Mus musculus: one gene and its partner. The protein of the gene in region 1 binds, or shares a complex with, the protein of each later gene. Links are inferred from orthologs where the notes say so. Each region holds a gene or a part of one and is shown on either strand. Other genes may lie near its edges. The genes, in order: Banf1 and Emd.

The links.
Region 2: the proteins of Banf1 (region 1) and Emd are in contact, whole or in part, in a crystal structure (PDB 7NDY), measured with the Homo sapiens proteins. The link is inferred for Mus musculus from reciprocal best matches to the Homo sapiens genes BANF1 and EMD. Residues at the interface, in NP_001137457.1 of Homo sapiens: Arg37, Phe39, Gln48, Val51, Leu52, Lys53, Asp55, Leu58, Glu61, Trp62, Asp65; in NP_000108.1 of Homo sapiens: Pro22, His23, Gly24, Pro25, Val27, Ser29, Thr30, Arg32, Leu33, Tyr34, Lys36, Lys37, Glu40.

Annotation. Positions count from the first base shown.
Region 1 is NC_000085.6:5,363,980-5,368,312, forward strand, and holds Banf1 (barrier-to-autointegration factor), read right to left. Parts: upstream 2,898-4,333; 5' UTR 2,589-2,897; exon of another isoform or gene 2,455-2,588; intron 2,385-2,454; exon of another isoform or gene 2,284-2,384; intron 1,978-2,283; 5' UTR 1,962-1,977; coding exon 1,839-1,961; intron 1,180-1,838; coding exon 1,033-1,179; 3' UTR 654-1,032; downstream 1-653. Other genes in the region: probable RNA-binding protein EIF1AD, read left to right, coding at 4,211-4,297. UniProt on the Homo sapiens protein: Non-specific DNA-binding protein that plays key roles in mitotic nuclear reassembly, chromatin organization, DNA damage response, gene expression and intrinsic immunity against foreign DNA.
Region 2 is NC_000086.7:74,253,327-74,257,717, reverse strand, and holds the start of Emd (emerin), read right to left. Parts: upstream 3,032-4,391; 5' UTR 2,767-3,031; coding exon 2,685-2,766; intron 2,511-2,684; coding exon 2,403-2,510; intron 2,266-2,402; coding exon 2,188-2,265; intron 1,976-2,187; coding exon 1,842-1,975; intron 841-1,841; coding exon 794-840; intron 712-793; coding exon 381-711; 3' UTR 1-380. UniProt on the Homo sapiens protein: Stabilizes and promotes the formation of a nuclear actin cortical network. Stimulates actin polymerization in vitro by binding and stabilizing the pointed end of growing filaments. Inhibits beta-catenin activity by preventing its accumulation in the nucleus.

The DNA of each region.
Region 1 (4,333 bases):
GCATGGGTTACATGACACAGGAACACAGGCTCCCACACACTTTGAGCTCCAGTGGCTAGTTTCTTGAAAGTTCAAGGGCAAATTAGCTTTCTAAGCTCCAAATCTCTTACCATTCCAAAATAAAAAATGTAATAAGTGCTTACAAAGATACTAGTTTCAGGGTTGGCTCACAATATGAGCTTGAAAACAATAGAAGTAGGATTTGGCTTTCAAGTTTAACCATTTCCTTCCTTTTCTATGGTAGCTTGGCAAACAGCAAAAGTCCCACCCATTCATTCTTGCCAGACGCTAAGAGCACATGCTATGATGACTGGCAGGTGACCTCTTACCCACATCCCATCCACCCGCTTCCTGGTACCTTTGACTCCCACTGACTTTCCACCAGGTGCTGCCTAGACTGACTGCTGACATCTGGAAGCCTTCAGCCTACCTGGCTCCCAGGAGAAAAAAGCCAACCCACACTCTCTCCCACAATGTTTAGGAATTGGGACACCCAGGGCACCTGCCCAGAGCCCACATGGCTAGGGTGGCTCCCTCTTGGGAGGGGAAATAGAAGGCACCAGTTTCGGTCTGCACTGATAACGAATGAAGTAGACGTGTTCAGCCCTGGGAATACACAACTCCCCAGCCTATCTGCTCTCTGACACAGAACACCAAGTATGAAGGCCACTGATTTTATTAATTTAAAAATCTTTTATAAGGACAGTGACTGTTTTTGCCAAAAAAAGGAAAGGAGCCAAAGGGCATCCAACAGATAGTGAGGGAGAAGGGGGCCAGGAATCCATTCAGGAAAGTTGGTAACTGCTGCCACGGAACTGCAGGGGGAGGTGGAAGGGAAAGGCATGCAAGGGAAACGATCCCAGAAAGATTGAAACGCTGAGGGGAGAGAACTCCCCATAGACCCTGGAGTACATAGGAGGTGAGGGTGACAACAGCCATCTTTTCCTTTATGGAGGACAGGGAGGAGCCCTGCCCTGCTGCAGACTCTGGAAACTGTGCTGTGGCTGGGGTATGAGGGATCCCCAGAGAACACTACAAGAAGGCATCACACCATTCTCGAAGGCACCCAAAGCAGTCCCGGGACTGCTTGGCATTGGCACCACATGTATCCTTCAGCCATTCTCGGAAGAGGTCTTCATCTTTCTTTAGCACCAGAAACTGGCCAAGGACCACATAAGCCTGCAGAATAGAAAAGGGCATGTGGCTAAGTGTCTCATGGGCTAAAGCAACAGGACTGTCCACGCTGATACCACTCCGAAGAGGCCAGATCTCTGAAGCTAGGGAGGGTTAGGTGGTAAATACTTCAGAGGGCAAGGCCATTTTTATTTTGATTAAGACAGGGTTTGTTGCCAGGCAGTGGTGGCGCACGACTTTAATCCCAGCACTTGGGAGGCAGAGACAGGCGGATTTCTGAGTTCGAGGCCAGCCTGGTCTACAGAGTGAGTTCCAGGACAGCCAGGGCTACACAGAGAAACCCTGTCTCGAAAAAAAAAAAAAAAGAAAGACAGGGTTTGTTCCTTTGTTGTCAGGGCTGGCATTAAATCCCACGGGAATCCTCTTAGCTCAACTTCCCAAGTGTTAGGGTCATAAGCACAATCCACTATGCCTAGTTTCATTTTCGTGATATTTAAAACACACAAAAGGGCAGGGGACAGTGAGCCACACCTTTAATCCTAGCACTGAGAAGCCCTGTCTCAACAAAACACAAAAATGAAGGAGGCACCATGCCTCCCCAGGTACCCCCCAAACATGTGTGGGCCTCACTCCCAATCTGCGTGGTACCACCTGTTGCCAACCTTCGCTCCTACCCCTCCCTGGCATTTGCAGCCCCCCCACACCTTGTCAAAGCCCCTTTCCTCCAGCCTCTTGCTCAGGACGTCACCAATCCCGGCCAGGCTCCCCACTGGCTTTTCCCCCATGGGCTCTGCCACGAAGTCTCGGTGCTTTTGGGAGGTTGTCATCGTGATCAGGCTTAACCTGGGAATCCCCCCCGCCAAAAAAAAAAAAAAAAAAAAAAGAAAAGTAGGTTAGGGCTGAAGACCACAAGTCCCAAGGGCAATATCCTACCACAGCTACTGTGGCTGCTCCCTTGAGTCCCCCCAACCCATCCCCGGCTATTCGGAAATTTCCACTTTCCGTGGGTCCTGGTTTTGGGTATATTGGATATATCAGCTTGCACTAGCTGGTGGCGCACCTAAGGCAACAGAGCGACTCCCAGACTCAGTAGTCAAGGTCCGCCCTGAAGCCCTCACAGCCCGCGACCCTGGCTACACAGACACTGACCCCGTTGGGAACTAACACGTGGTAGGAACAGCACGCGGCTCTCGCCAGCCTCGCCGCCCTCACTCGGGCTGCCGGCCTCTTCCACGCCTCTCAGGTCCCGCAGGCCCCGCCCTGAGGCCCCGCCCCGCTCCGAGCGCCCCGCCCCCTCCACGCGCCGCCACCCGGACACACCGCGCATCGCCCCTCCCGCAGACTCGGGCTGCCCCGCTGCAAAGGCGCGCCTCCGCGATGGATTCCCCTCCCTCCCGCCTCTGCGCGCCGCCACCGCACGCCAGCCGGAGCACCACTCCGCTTCTCACGCTCACCGGAGGCTCCGGCTCTGGTAACGGCTCCTCGCGCCACTCGGCCGCTCCCGCCCAGACCTCAAGCTACGAGACGGTTCCTCGACTTCCGCTTCCGGGTCGTTTTATGCGCGACCTTCAAAACTAATCCCCAAACTGGGCAGGTCTAGCTACCCGGAGCCATAGAGTTGACGCGCAATCGCCAGCCGCGGCGCCCACGGGGGTCGCTGTTTTCCGGTTCCTCTCAAGAAGCCATCCGGCTTTCGATGGCTTTTGTTTCTCCAGCGGCCCTTCCGGTCTGTGGGATCGAGACCTCCGAGGAGAATGCGTTTTCCTGCCCCGCACTCGGAACTTAGGCTTGCCTCACTTGATGGAGGGAAGAGTTAAAGGGACGGACGAAGAGGGGGCGGGAAATCCGGAGGACCTCTGAGCGCCCCGGAATCGCAATTCCCGGCGCGGTTTCCTCAGGTCTGTCACCTCAGACCGGCAGACGGGAGGGAGGAACAACGGAGGATTGGGGCCGAGCGTCCAGACCGGCGTTACCGTCGGGGCCACCTGCAGGTCACAGTTGTTTGCTCTTTGGTCCCTCGCTGTCGAGGCGCGTCGTGGACGAGCTACTGTCGCCGTCAACCTGGAAAGCGGAGCGTGCTGGTGTGGCGCCGAGCGGGTGAGTTCCGTGGGCAGCTCTCGTGCTGGGCGCCGCGTCGGTCGCTCCGTGCCTGGGATGTGTCGGGAGGCCGTCGTTGTGTGGCTCTCCTGCCTTGGGTGTTGAAGCCTGTGGCGGAACGCAGCTCACCTTAGATTTCGCTCAGAGAGCTTGGCGGGATGACCGATCGGCCTGGGAGGGGGAGGCGTCGCCGTCCTAACAGGACTGAGACGTAGGACTCAGGGCTTGCCCTGTGCTGGGTAGTTTCCGTGATCTCGCCGATTTACTTAGTTTTTCTTTGTTATTGAGAGGGCCGGCCCCGTGCTCCGTGGGTTGGGATTAGTGTTGAGATCGAAGGCTTGAGCCACCCTGACGTCTCAGCTGACACTATAAAACCTGTGTTTCCTGGTTTGGTTTGTTTTTTTTTTAAAGATGTCCCCCATGGGTGGTGTTGTGAGTGCCCTCGGAAGCCAGAAGAGGGCGGTGGATGCCCTTGAATTGGAGTTAAAGGTGGTTGTGAACCATCTGATGTGGGTGCTGGCTCATAGGACATCTCCCTGGCCCTTGAAGGTCCTGCTTGTTTGTTTTTGGTTTACGGTCTCCCTATGTAGACTAGGTTGGCCCAGGACTCAACAAATTTCTGCCTACCTCTCCCTCCCAAGTGCTAAGAATAAAGATATACACCAGCACCTGGCTAAGTCTGTGATTTGTCTTTCAATGATTTCATTCATGTTTTATGTGTATTAGTGTTTTTACCTGCATGTGTGTCTCAAAAGAGGGCGTTGAATCCCCTGTGGCTGGAAACCATACCTGGTTCTCTGCCAGAGCAGCAAGTCCTGCTGTCCCCTAAAGTGCATGTTTTTAACAGGGCGAGGTGGCACTTTTTCGTATAAGGCTGCTTCTCTTGAAAGCAGTCCTGGCTTCTAAGGCTGGCATCCAAATAATTCTGGAAGAAGAACTGACAGTCTGTGCACCCTAACAACCCTGGACAGAAACCAGCATGTCTCAGGCCAGCAAGAGGAAGCATGTGGTGCAGGAGGTGCTGGGGGAGCACATGGTGCCTTCTGACCACCAGCAAATAGTGAAAGTGAGTGCCGCCTGTCTCGGGCTTCCCGTCCTCCTC
Region 2 (4,391 bases), on another chromosome or scaffold:
TGAAAGCAAAGCCAGGGTGGTCTTTGTTAATACCCCCTGAAAAGGTGACAACAAACAGGCATGCATGACAACTACCACTGCCACCACCAAGTTTTCCTCTAATGAAGTGAGGTCCTCCCACCAGACCCCGGTACCCTAAGGGTCAGAGGCAATAGGGCTAGGAGGCTCCAGAGGAAGGTACAGGTAGGCCTACTGGGCTGTAGAAGGCCAACATTTGCTGCTTCCTTGGCAGGATGAGGTGGGAGACAAGCATTGCCTTAGGCTAGACCTTGCACCCAACTAGAACACACAAAAAAGCCCCTACCCTCCCCACCCCCAGCAAACACCGATAAGGCAATCAGCCAAAACTCCTGGTAAGAGCTGCTCTAAAACCAATACCCTTAGGGATCCATCCAGAAGGGGTTGCCTTCTTCAGCTTGTATGGAATAGTAAACAAAGAGCAGAAAGGCAGCAAAGACCAGGAAGAGTAACAGCTGGCCCCAGAGTGGGACCTGTCGATCCTGGCCCAGAGCAGCAGCAGGGGCCTGCTTCTCTGGCCGAATGGCACGTCGGGTAAGCCATGAAGAGGGAGAAGATGAAGAGGAGGACACAGAAGAGGTGGAGGATGTAGGATAATATGATAAGCCCAGAGAGCTCCTGGAGACATTGGAAATGGGGCGGTAGTGTGCGATGCTCTGGTAGGCACTGTCTTGGCCATAGATGAGGCGCTCCCTGTGGCAAAAGAAGGCAACAGGTAGGCAGGAGAGTCTGAGACTCGAATTTGTCCCTGTCCCTACATATGTTCACTACTCACCTATCCTTGCCTTCCTCTTCTAAAGAAGAGAAAATGTCATCACGCACCTGCAGAATAATTAGGATTAGAAATGGGGAAGAATGGTTTTCCTTAAATGTCTCTGGCTAGCCTGCTCTAATCATATCATAGGGACCAGAAAATTGCCCCCCCCTCCCCCATTCTGAGTATGTGGAGCCTCTTTATCTGTGGGGCCTTGCTGCTCAGTTACTAACCCTGTTGACTTTGTTCCAGCATCCTTTTATTCCCCTGGATTCTCAGGAGGCTTAAATCTATATCGTAGATTAATTACTAGAGTGCAGGAGCTGTTACATATTCTCTGATCAAAAAAGTTTGTGGGCTGAAGAGGTGGTTCACTGGTTAAGAGCACATATTATTCTTCCTAGGTACCTGAGGTCAATTTCCAGCACACACATCAGGCAGTTTACAACTACCTGTAGCTCTAGCTCTAGTGGGAATATGACAATTCTCACCTCTGTAGGTGCCAGCACTCATGCATACTACCCACAGACATGTATGTGAGAATTCTGGAATTTTGGCTTTTTTAAGAAACACAGAAATATTGTAAGAATATGTTTTTGTTTTAATCTTAGGTGTGGAATATGGGGCTGCTTCACAGCAGCTAACTATGAGTTGCCTCATGCTTTTAGCAAAGGTGTGTTTCTGTGAGTTTCAGATAGTTTCTACAATTGTGTGATATTTGGAATTCTGGGAATTTTTCATTACTGGGGGTGAAGTGGGGGGGGGGAAATACCCACAAACTAACAAAAATTGGCCACACATATGTATAATTAAAGTAATTAAATCTTTTAAAAAAGCCAAAACCCCAAAACATTTGTTATGTGCTGCTGGAGATGAAACCATAGGTAAATACTCTTCTGCTGAGCATCCCCAAATCCAATAGTTTTGAAGGTTCCAACATAGAATTTTTAACCCGACAGCTGTATGCTGACCCTAACCAGATTTGAAAGCCTAAGATCCACTCTCTGCACCTATCCAAACCTAGAATTCCCTAAGGCTGCACCCCAGGTATACCTACCAGCCAACTCACCTGGTGATGGAAGGTATCAGCATCTACAAGTGAGGTCCCCGGCTGGCGGAAGCTCTTGGACATGCCCACAGACTCAGGCTCCCCGTATGTCTTGGTGGTCAAATAACTCTCCTCATAGTAGTCATCATTATAGTCTTGGGGAGGAAAACAGTGGTAGAGGAAAAAGTGGTGCCCCTTAACTGGCCTCCTCTTCTCCCTCCCCAGCCTGTGTGTGCTGTGTCAGTTTCTCCCCTCTGAAGCCACTGAGAACTGGTACAAGGAGGTGAGGGAGGTCTGGGGTTTCCCTGTGCCCAAATCCCGGAAGCATGGGATAAAAACATCAGTGCCCACCCTATACCTGCCTTACCCTTGCTCTGGTAAAGTAAGGCGTCTTCTTTTTTGGGCAGATCATACATGTCTGAGTCCACGGCGGCTGAATCCAAGTCTGCATGTGAAGGAGGAGGGACAGGACCATTCGATCTCCAGCCTTCCCCCTACTCCCTCAATAGCTTCGGCCACACCCTCCCTCCCTAAGACGTGTGCCCCAAGCTGCTCTTTGGGGCTCTGCAGTTAAGGGCTCACCTGAGAACTGATAGGAGAATGAAGAAGATGACGAGTTGGGGGGTAAGAGTCTCCTTCTCTGGGTCTCGTACTCGAAGATTTTCTTTTCGTAGAGCTTGCGAGTGGAACCTGCCCAGACACAGGGTGCGAAGCGGTCAGAGGGCGTGAGCCGAGCACCCCAAGAGCACAAGGGAACACGGGGAGGGGACTTGAGGGGAGGGAGAGGTGGGGAGAACGCTCAGGGAGGAGCGCGGGAAAGCAGTGGACCAAGAGAGGTTCTGAGCGCCACCGGGTGCAGCATACCCACAATAGGCCCATGAGGGATGTTGTACTGGCGTAGCACTGCGGCCAGCTCAGTATCGGACAAAACCGCATAGTCGTCCATGGCAGACAAGGCCGGCACCTGGAAGCGGTGTTGAACGCCAGGGGCGGCCGGGGCCTACAGACAGGGCCCAAGAAACCAACCGCTCGGAGCCTAGAAGAAGAAGCGCCAGAGCCTCAAGAGCGGCTGTGGGCGCGTCACGCCGCCGTCACATTTGCGTCACAGCCGCGGCTACGCAGGTTGCGCGCGCTCCTCAGGGCAGGCCCAAACTAGCCAGAACGGCCGGTGCAGACCGGTCTAGCTGAGGGAACAGGCTGGGCTGGCAAACAGAAACGTAACGCTTGTGAGAGATTGGCTCGAACAGGGAGAAGGCGGAGCTTTCAGAACTCGTGCGGCAGCGGTTGAGACTTCCTTTGAGAGCTAGGCCGCCGAGGGGCGGAGCTGGCTGACCTCACTAGAGGATGCTTTAGAGCGCAACTTACTAGGGATGAGGCAAGTGATTTGACCAAAACCGGCTTGTGAGATTTCCCAACCTGTGAGATCTCACATACTTTTGTTACTGGCTTCATTCCTGATTTTATTCCCCCGGTGTTCCAGTGCCTAGGATTCTCAGCCACAGTGTGATCCACAGCAGTGTAAAGCAATCCTGAGAGCGAACCCTTCCAGAGCGCCTAACGCTGCTGAGAGCTCTTTGTATGCTGTCAGACAGGGCTCTCATCACCTAACATAGACACCCACAGAGCCCTGGCACTCCCTACCCATCTCCTTTGGTCTTCCCAGTCTCCATGACCCTGGCCTGCACACCTGCACAGGCCCATTCCCACCGTCGTCTTCTCTAATGCCTAGTTCCATTCGCGAGGAAATGGGGCCAGCACTGGGCCAAGTGGCCACCAGCACTACAGGATCAAGCAGCTTTCCAAAGGTCCAGGGTATGCCAATGCACACAATCAGAGGGCGCCTGCCTGCCTGCCTGCCTGCCTGCCCTGTGATGCATGTAGATCTGTACACCTTGTACCTGCCATACTCACTGTTCTACCTTGGGCCCTGAGGAATTCTGGGGGGAGAGGTCTTCTCTGGCTGAGTAGAATAGTCTCTAAGCTTGGTGTGACCTTAGAGACCTAGACAAGTGTACAAAGCCTAGAGCACTATTTCTCAACCTCCTTAATGCTGCAATCCTTTAATACAGTTCCTCATGTTGTGGTGACTCCCCACCCATAAAATTATTGTGTTGTACTTCATAAATGTAATTTCAATATTGCTATAAATTAAAATATAAATATTTGTTATGCAGGATATCTGATATGTGAGATCCAAAGGGATAGCGACCCCAGAGGTTCTGAACTGCTGGCCTAGAGGCAAACCATGGGAATTGATGGAGGCTTACTAAGGATCTGGATCAGAGAAAGGTTGCCTTGAAGAGTGACCATGACCATTATATTCTACACAAAGTCATGTGGATCTAGGTAGGCTGCCCTTTATTGGAGAGATCTAGAAGAAGGGGTACGCGTAGAAAAAGTGTGTAGGATGCCTGATCTCTTAAATCAGTGCTTCTCAACCTTCCTAATGCTGTTGTGGTGATTCCCAATCACAAAATATTTTTGTTGCTACTTTATAATGGTAATTTTTGCTACTTTATGAGTCATAATGTAAATATTTTTGGAGACAAGGTTTGCCAGAGGGGTTGTAAC